2 linked regions of the Rattus norvegicus genome follow. The protein of the gene in region 1 interacts with the protein of each later gene in a biochemical or structural test. Links are inferred from orthologs where the notes say so. Each region holds a gene or a part of one and is shown on either strand. Other genes may lie near its edges.

Evidence for each region.
Region 2: the proteins of Ap1g1 (region 1) and Clint1 form a complex in vitro, tested with the Homo sapiens proteins (2 studies listed by BioGRID). The link is inferred for Rattus norvegicus from reciprocal best matches to the Homo sapiens genes AP1G1 and CLINT1.

What each region holds. Positions count from the first base shown.
Region 1 is NC_086037.1:54,652,485-54,656,966, forward strand, and holds the start of Ap1g1 (AP-1 complex subunit gamma-1), read left to right. Parts: upstream 1-1,616; 5' UTR 1,617-1,939; exon of another isoform or gene 1,940-2,045; intron 2,046-2,175; exon of another isoform or gene 2,176-2,306; intron 2,307-2,534; exon of another isoform or gene 2,535-2,671; intron 2,672-4,482. UniProt on the Homo sapiens protein: Subunit of clathrin-associated adaptor protein complex 1 that plays a role in protein sorting in the late-Golgi/trans-Golgi network (TGN) and/or endosomes.
Region 2 is NC_086028.1:30,834,269-30,838,077, reverse strand, and holds part of Clint1 (clathrin interactor 1), read right to left. Parts: intron 2,632-3,809; coding exon 2,454-2,631; intron 1-2,453. UniProt on the Homo sapiens protein: Binds to membranes enriched in phosphatidylinositol 4,5-bisphosphate (PtdIns(4,5)P2). May have a role in transport via clathrin-coated vesicles from the trans-Golgi network to endosomes. Stimulates clathrin assembly.

The sequences.
Region 1 (4,482 bases):
GGCAGGCAGATCTCTGAGTTTCAGGCCAGCCTGATCTACAGTTTCTGATGCTGCAGGGATAGACAGAGAAACCCTGTCTCAAAAAGAAGAAAAGGAGGAGAAGGAGGAGGAGGAGGAGGGAGAGGAAGAAGAGGAGAAGCAGAAAGAGGAAGAAGAAAAAGAAGGAAAAGAAGAGGAAAAAACTTCTTTTGTTGTTTGCTATGGTAAACACTTAATTTTGGCTCTTAAAAGCTATTTTAATCTTCCATGTGAAAAACGTGGCTACCTTTGCCTTGCGTCTCTGCTTGAAGATTTCCTTTATGGACATTTCACTGTGAATTTGGCACGTTTCATTAGTACTCCTGGCTTAGAGTGCTAGCATTATGATGTTCTAGTCTTAGGCTGTACCTGGGGCTGCTCAGGGCAGATGCACCAAAGAAGGGTAGGAGGGTCTGAATTTCATAAATATTCTGTTGTCTAAATCAGTGGGTCTGGATTGGAATACATGTTTGGGGTGTGGTGCGTTTTCTGTTTAAGATGACATCTTAATGCAGAATCCATTGTGAGAGACAGTTGTAATTTCTCTCGTCTTAAATCTCTTCATTTGTAAACTTAGGTTACTTACTTCGACTCAAGAGATTGCTTAGAGGGCTAGGTTGTGCATTATGACCAATGAGACACCAATAGTTAATAAATTTGATCATGACCTTGGAGTCCTTTCTTTCCAGCCACTTGGCATGCCCCAGAAATTCAAGGTCAAAATTGTACGCCTAGACTTACCCAGTTCAATGTCGGTAAAGTATTTTGAAATCCTTGCATGAAAAACGAATGCCTAAGGGAAAAGTTGCAACTTCCTGTTTATGACACTCAAGTCTGAAACTCAGGATTTGTGCTTAGTTCCTGGTCTGTGGTATTCAGTCTACTATTGTGTTTTATTCACATCCCGGGTGGCTTTGTTGCCAATCTATCGGAAAGATTTTATTCTAGGTAGGTCACCTTTCCTTTAAATGGGCCAAGATATCAAGGATCTCTAGGTTCACATGGAAAAGACTTTTGTCACAAGTTAGTAATTATTTATCACACCAGGAACTGTCTAGTTAGACTTTCTTTGCTTCAGGTTATTAGTTCATTCAATCATAGATTGAAAGCCTATTCTGGAAGAGTTTTAGCTGTCTTTTGTCCAGATTCTTTTTTTCTCACGGGAGGGAACTGAATCGTTGGTGAGATTGACACACAAAGGGTGGTGCTGTGCTTGGATCCATTCTTCGGTTTCATCTTCTGTTTTTGCAAAAAAAATTATGAAGATACCATAAAACCAAGGATTCCAAAACTACTCGGCATGCTGCTAAATTTGATCAGAAAAGCTAAGGATTCAAAGGTGATACGAACCACTTAAGAATTCTTTTGGAAACACTAGCTACATGCCCTCTCTGACTTCCTGAGTTACCTTGCTGAGCTCCGCCCCCTCAGGTGACCCCACCGTTTCCCGGCTGCACCACTTCCCCAACCCCGCCACCAAGCGGAACCAAAGTGCGTTGACTCTGGAGTAGGGCCGGACCTTTCTAGCTCAGACTCCTCGCAGCGGTGACTCGGCAGCCGCGTCTAGCGTCATCAGTGACAGCCCCGACCCTTGCTACGCTTTGCGTCGCTCTGCCAGGCGCAGTCGCCTCCTCCTCGGCAAATAGTCCTCAGCAGGGTCCGAGTACTCGGGTCATCCGAGGTGGGAAAGAGCACAGGTTGCAGTTGGAGGGACGCGGAGTGGACGAGGAGAGGGAGCGGAGGAGCGACGTCTTCTCGAGAAGCGCGAGAAGTGAGTTAGAAACTCCCTCCTCGCCTGGGATCCCTCCGCCTGCAGTAGCGGTGGTGAGGCCGAGGGAGCCGCCATTTTGGATGTTCGGTTCCTGCTGCCACTGCTGCCGCCGCCCCCGAAGCTGCTGGTTTCATTCGAGGTTTCGGGCCGGTGAGTGTCACTCGCGGCACTGAGAGCTGGTTGTGTCTTTGGCTCCACTGCAGCTGCGAGCGTTTGACTGGAAACCTCCTGTCAGTCCCAGGGGTCCGGACTCAGCCTGTGGGGGGTGAGGAGGACCCAGGTTGGGTCAGGAGGGACCGGGGAGCCCCGGGCTTGCTCGGACTTCCTGAGGGCCGACCCTCGGAAGCTTCAGAACCGGAGCTCCGGTGCGCCGTCGCTTTCCCTACCTTGGGGTTGTCTGGCCGGTGCAGGCCTCCTTGAACCCATTGACTTTATCGAGCTGCTATCCTCCTTTGAAAGCTGGTTCAGGGAGCCTAGGATTTAGCGGGGCGGGCCCCACCCCCGCGTGTCCTCTCTGAGCCACGTATCAGCGTTCTTGTGTCGGGGACTCGGGTCAGATCTGAGAACTCTGAGCATTTCCCACGCAGGGGTAAAGCTGCCTGTCCCTGCAGTGCCGTCCACTCAGAGCCGGACATCGGCCTCGCCTCCCTTTAACCTTCCAACTAACTTCTCTTTCAAACATTTTCGCCCTTTTTTTTTCTTTTTTCTTTTCTTTTTCTTTCTCTTTTCCTTTTTAAGAACTCACCTGCGACCGCGCTGTTCACTCTCCTCTCCAACTCTCGGTTCTGCGGACGTCAGTTTCTAGGAATTCTCAGGATCTTCCTCATTGCCTGGAACTGTCGGTTATGCTTCCCAGTTAGGGGGCTTAGTGCTGGAGAGCCGTCGAACCACTTAGAGTGTATTTCAGCAGTAAATGGGTTTAAAGCGGGTCAAGCGGCTTTGGGTGGGAAGGAGCTGTCAAAAATACTTTCTGGATTTCCTTTCTGTTCTGAAAACTGAGTTTGGGGCACTTACTGATACTTTTTTCTTTTGGTGTTATATATGCTTAGCATGGAAGGCTGCCCTTGGAGAATAATAACCTGACGTAGGTAGAAAGGAAAATAACTTTTTTAGTTCCTATAGGGATTAGTTAACAGAAGAGCGAGCTGAATGGTCTCTTAGTGACCGCACCCCTCAGGTGTTTGTATAGTAATGATCTTTGCTGACTTCCTATGTTGACTTTTCTCAGAGTAGCTAGGTTTTAAGCATCCATTTCCACCGTTGCCCGTAGTATTTGCCAGACTATAAACTTCTTAAGGTTCGATTTGAAACCTGTGGATCCTTGAAGTAATGATAGCTTCATTAATTCTGTTAAAGTCTGTTTGCAGTCCAGTATGCTTGAATAAAGAACATTTCACAATAATTCACTGGTTATTTCCTACATTTCAAGTTAGGTGAGTGTGGTTGAATCACCCCCGTTTTATCTCACCCTAGGTTTTTCATCTGCAAAAGAGAAACAACTTCTTTGAGATCATGAGTGGCCGGAAACCTAAGTTTATAACATGAACCAAGTTAAATCTCTCAATACTTGTAAAGTTTATATTGATGCAGTATTTAACATTTTTGGAAGACATATTTATTTTTTTATGTTTGAGTGTCTTGCTGGCATACATAGTATGTGCATCACGGGCATGCTCAGTTCCAGCGGAGGTCTTTTGGATCCCCTGGAAATGGGATTCTAGGCAGTTGTGAGCTGCCCTGTGAGTTCTGGGAACTGAATCCATGTCTTCTCTAAAAGCAGTCAATGCTTTTAACCGTTGAGCCACCTCTCCAGCCCTGTGATGCTTTCTTTATTCTTACTAAGCTTTTGAAATGTCTTTACATTTCAAAGGTAAGTTCTTTACATTTAAAGGTAAGTTCTTTACAGGCCACACAGTGACACAGAGGACAGTATTTTCAGTGTAGATATTCTGTGCTCTTGTTATTTGTTTTTAGCAGCTCCTTCAGAACTAGGTTAATTCTTGTTAGACACGAGTTCTGTGAGTGTGCTGCTCCGAAGTTGTGCAGTTTTCTTTTGCTTTAAGAACTCAGCAGTGTCACCTTGTTTGTTATTGCTGAAATTTTCAGTTTTTGAGTTCACTTTTTGAACAAGTATTGAGAAAGCTATCATAGTTATTTAACTCAGTTCATGGTATGGTTTAACATACTGGGATTTAAATATCATTCATTCTTAGATGGTTTACAGTTTACCTTGAGAAAGTATCCTTTTGTTAAACAAATTATTAGCAAAGTGCTGTTTCCTGTACCCTTGAGCAGCACGTATATGAATGTCTACTTTGTCTCTTGGCTGTTGAGAATTGCACTGGAAGTTAACATTTATGTTTAGTAAACTTCCATTTATTTTCTTCCTTCTTCCTTACCCTCTTTTCCCCTCCCTTTTTTTGAAACATGGTTTTGCTAAATTGCTCAGGCTGGCCTTAATTTGCGACCCTCCTACCTTACCTGAGTAGCTGAGATTAACAGGCCTCTGCCAGCAGTGCTGGCCCAGCTTTGGTTTCTGAGACAGTCTTCCTATGTAGCTCAGGTTGGCGGGACTTGTATACTTCTCTTCTCCCAGTGTTGGGGCTGCAGGCTGCAGGCTCCGAGGATGTGTGTCCAGCTCCACTCAGTTGCTTTGGTAAAGGAAAATGTTTGATTCAGTCTGTTTTGCTGAC
Region 2 (3,809 bases), on another chromosome or scaffold:
GTTTTTACAATTGTGCTGCACTTTGCTACTGTTACATCAAGCATTACATAACTGTCAACTGTAGAAACTTAACTATATTTTAAATATTTCTGAAACAATTATTTTACTCATGTTAACATTTCAAGTCAACCAATCAAAAGCTCTATAAAAGCGAACCTCTAGGAAGCAAGAATCCAGGATTTCCACATGCTGGGAATGAAAGGAGTCTATTCTCTAATGTTAAGTCACTGAGTTTTTGTCTGGGATTGAGCAGGCGAGTGGGAGAGAAAAGACAATGTGTGTGTGTGTGTGTGTGTGTGTGTGTGTGTGTGTGAGAGAGAGAGAGAGAGAGAGAGAGAGAGAGAGAGAGAGCGCGCAAGCAAGGGACAAGAACCTGAAGTATGTTCCATTATTTATATTCCCTAGTTGTAGGATAGGCAGTTTAATTTATGAATATCCTAAAGTAAAATGCTTGACTTTCCCCTTAAACTATGAGTATCACTGATGAACTCTGACTCCAATCTAAAGCAATCTCAACTTAATACAAGTCACTTTGGGACTTAGATACATCAAGGGTCAGAAAGCATAGCTTATAGGCTGGCAAGAAGGCTGCACACAAAGCCCTGAGTCACATGTAACTCTGTCTACAGCATGCTGTTTTCTCACCAACACTTGAAAATGCAACATGCACACATCACCAACTGGTATTTGGAATATAGTCCGGATCTTTAATCTGAATTCTCCGGATCAAAGAGGTAGAACTCTTACCCATCCTGCCTCAGACTGGCCATCATCAGCATCACCCAGGCAAACAAGGAAGGCAAAAAAAAAAAAAAAAAAAAAAAAAAAGCAAGCAGAGTTCAAGGAAGAGGAGAAGAAGCCCCTAAGGATATCAGAAGAAGGTAAAATAGAGTAGGACCACACACTGCTATATCACTAAGACCCTACACCTCATCCCCCACTTCAAGTCAGGTCAAAAACTTATACATAGGACACAAGAGCCTGTGTAGAATATTAATAAGGGAAGACAGGAGAGTACTTAGACACTCTCTCTCAGGCTGCAGTGTTACACCTGCAGGCCTCTGGTAGAAAGCAGATACGTTCCTATTACTGATACTACTGTTCCTTCAAAGATTATGCCCTTACAAGTCTTAAAAAGGGCATTCTAGAGATTTAATGGCTCTGGAACCACACTGAATACACTGAACACAGGTATTTTGAAACCTTTTTAAAATCTGGCTATAGTTTTATTTGAACTTCATTCCCATGAACTGTAATCTGAACTATTATAAATGTATGGGTAGGAAAAAGATGCTAATTAGTTAAAAAAAAACAAAAACAAAAACAAAAACCAGCACCAGCACCAGCACCAGCACCACAAAAAACCCCAAACAAACAACAAACTCATTTTCCACAGGTCCATGCAGACTGAGTGGGCCTCAGGTTTTACTTCTATTGTTTGATGTCAGCTTATTATAACTGTCCTACATCAGAAGATGAAGCTTATAAACACAGGCCTGTGCGACTCCAGGTGCCTACCACTACTCCAGGTGCACCCCTGCGCAGGATTGCTCTGGTCACGTGAGCACAGGACGGCAATACTAAGTCTCAGGTAGTTAAATTTTAGCCTTTAACCTTCTCTCCAACGTAGGCTTCATTATCCCCTTCCCCCACACCTTATTTTAGACCATGGAACCGTCTGATGTCCAAATGTAAGATGACAATTATAAATTTTAGAGAGGGTAAAAATCTCGAGGCCAAGACTGAGATGCCTGAAGAAAAATGTAGAGGACAAGAACGGTTAGGGACAGACAGGAGGTGCAGACCGCTCGGAAGAGTCAATATTACTAGCACTTAGGGCTGACCTAGTATCATAAAACTAGGTGACTGGCAACTTTATAAATGGCTCCACTTTTCTTTTTATAGAGGGCATTTTCAGGGAGGCGACATTTGTTACTGGAGAATACTGCATGTTCAACATGGTAACCTCCAGCCTAAACTGTACACTGTAACTACAGCTTATCAATACTAGTTTTTCAGTTAAGAAATGTAACACAGGGGTTGGGGATTTAGCTCAGTGGTAGAGCGCTTGCCTAGCAAGCGCAAGGCCCTGGGTTCGGTCCCCAGCTCCGAAAAAAAGAAAAAAGAAGAAAAAGCAGAAGAAGAAGAAAAAGAAAAAAAAAGAAAAAAGAAATGTAACACAATTATCTTGAAACCATGAGAAAGAGAAAGGGTATGTAGTGCCTTCTGTACTTTATGATCAAATTTTCTGTGTCATATAGATTTCTCTAACAAAGTGTGTTTTTAAAAAAGGCTAAGCTTTAGATAACAGCAATACATCAAAATTAAACCAAACCAAACCAAACCAAACGGCTGCGTAAAGCAAAGCCCTTAAGCAAGTGGTGGAGAGGCGGTGGAGAGGCGGTGGAGAGGTGGTGGAGAAGTGGTGGAGAGGCGGTGGAGAGGCAGCGTACCTGCACCTTTCCGGAGAGTCCTCCCGGTCTTTCCTCCGGAACTTGCTGATGGTGTCGTCGATTGTGCTCCCGATCTTGTCGCTCAGCTCCCCTAGCTTGTCACTGAATGGAAACGCACTCTTGTTCTTATCCCACTCTTCGTCCCATTTGGACTTGGGCTCAGGGTCATACCGTTCATCTGTGTAAACAACGAAGAAAAACAACTGAGGATATTAAATCTGGAAGGTTCCAGTGTCCTTCCTTCTCCTAAGAAAATTATTTTTAAGGGAAAACGAATCTCCCACAGTGCCACACAAACACAACATGGTGCAGCCCATGCCAATCAAAAGCCTGTCTTCAGGTAACTTCACAGCCTTGATGGACAGGACAGATCTGAAGCCCTTGAACACTGCTACAGGAGTAGATACAGAAGCCATTCTATAAACACAAGACAAATGAACATCTTTCCAGTTTTCTAAAGTCATCCAATGAGTTCAATGACTATTTTATTCTTATCTTAATGGTTCTTCATTTTTAGACAAATATAAGCCAATGACAATATCTTAAACAGAAAGTAAGGCTATGTGCTGTGGTCCATGCCTATAACCCCTGTGTTCAGGAGATGGAGGCAGAGAGTGCAAGTTCTAGGGCAGCCCAGGCTCTGCACAAGTGGATGTGCGTCCAACAAACAAACAACAGAGAAAGGCAAGAAAGCGAGTTTGGGGGTGCAGAGAGAAGGGAGAAGGGGAGGGGAATAAGGCTGAAGGAGTGAGCACACACACAGAGCAAGCTAGCAAGACATGACGGTAAACTACACCAGAGCGAAGCTCAGTGATCATTTGAGAGCAAGAGTCCAAAGCTATGCAGTGCAGCACAACACAATGAGATCACCATCTCAGTAACAGGTGAAAGAGGAAGGAAGGGCAGACAGACGCATGGACCCAAAGGAGGAGGAGGGAAGGAAATTGACTGACTAACTAACCACTTAAGCACTGTTTCCCTAAAAGAACTCTGGTCTGAGCCCCATGACCCAGTTAGCTGAAAGGACCACATCCTTTAGTACCAAGAATGCAAATGAATGGAGTGAGGCATGGGAAGAATCCTGTAATTTTATTAAAAAAAATTCTAATTCTCCAAATCTTCACACTTTAGAACTATAAATGCTCTGAGCAGCTCCGACTTGGTGCTGGTGCATCAGAGAACCTCTGTGTGAGTCTGGAGTAAAGAAAAGACTGCAGCCCGGATGTAGATCGCTCCTGAGAGACACAGCCAGAATACAGCAAATATAGAGGCGAATGCCAGCAGCAAACCACTGAACTGAGAATAGGTCCCCTATTGAAGGAATCAGAGAAAGAACTGGAAGAGCTTGAAGGGGCT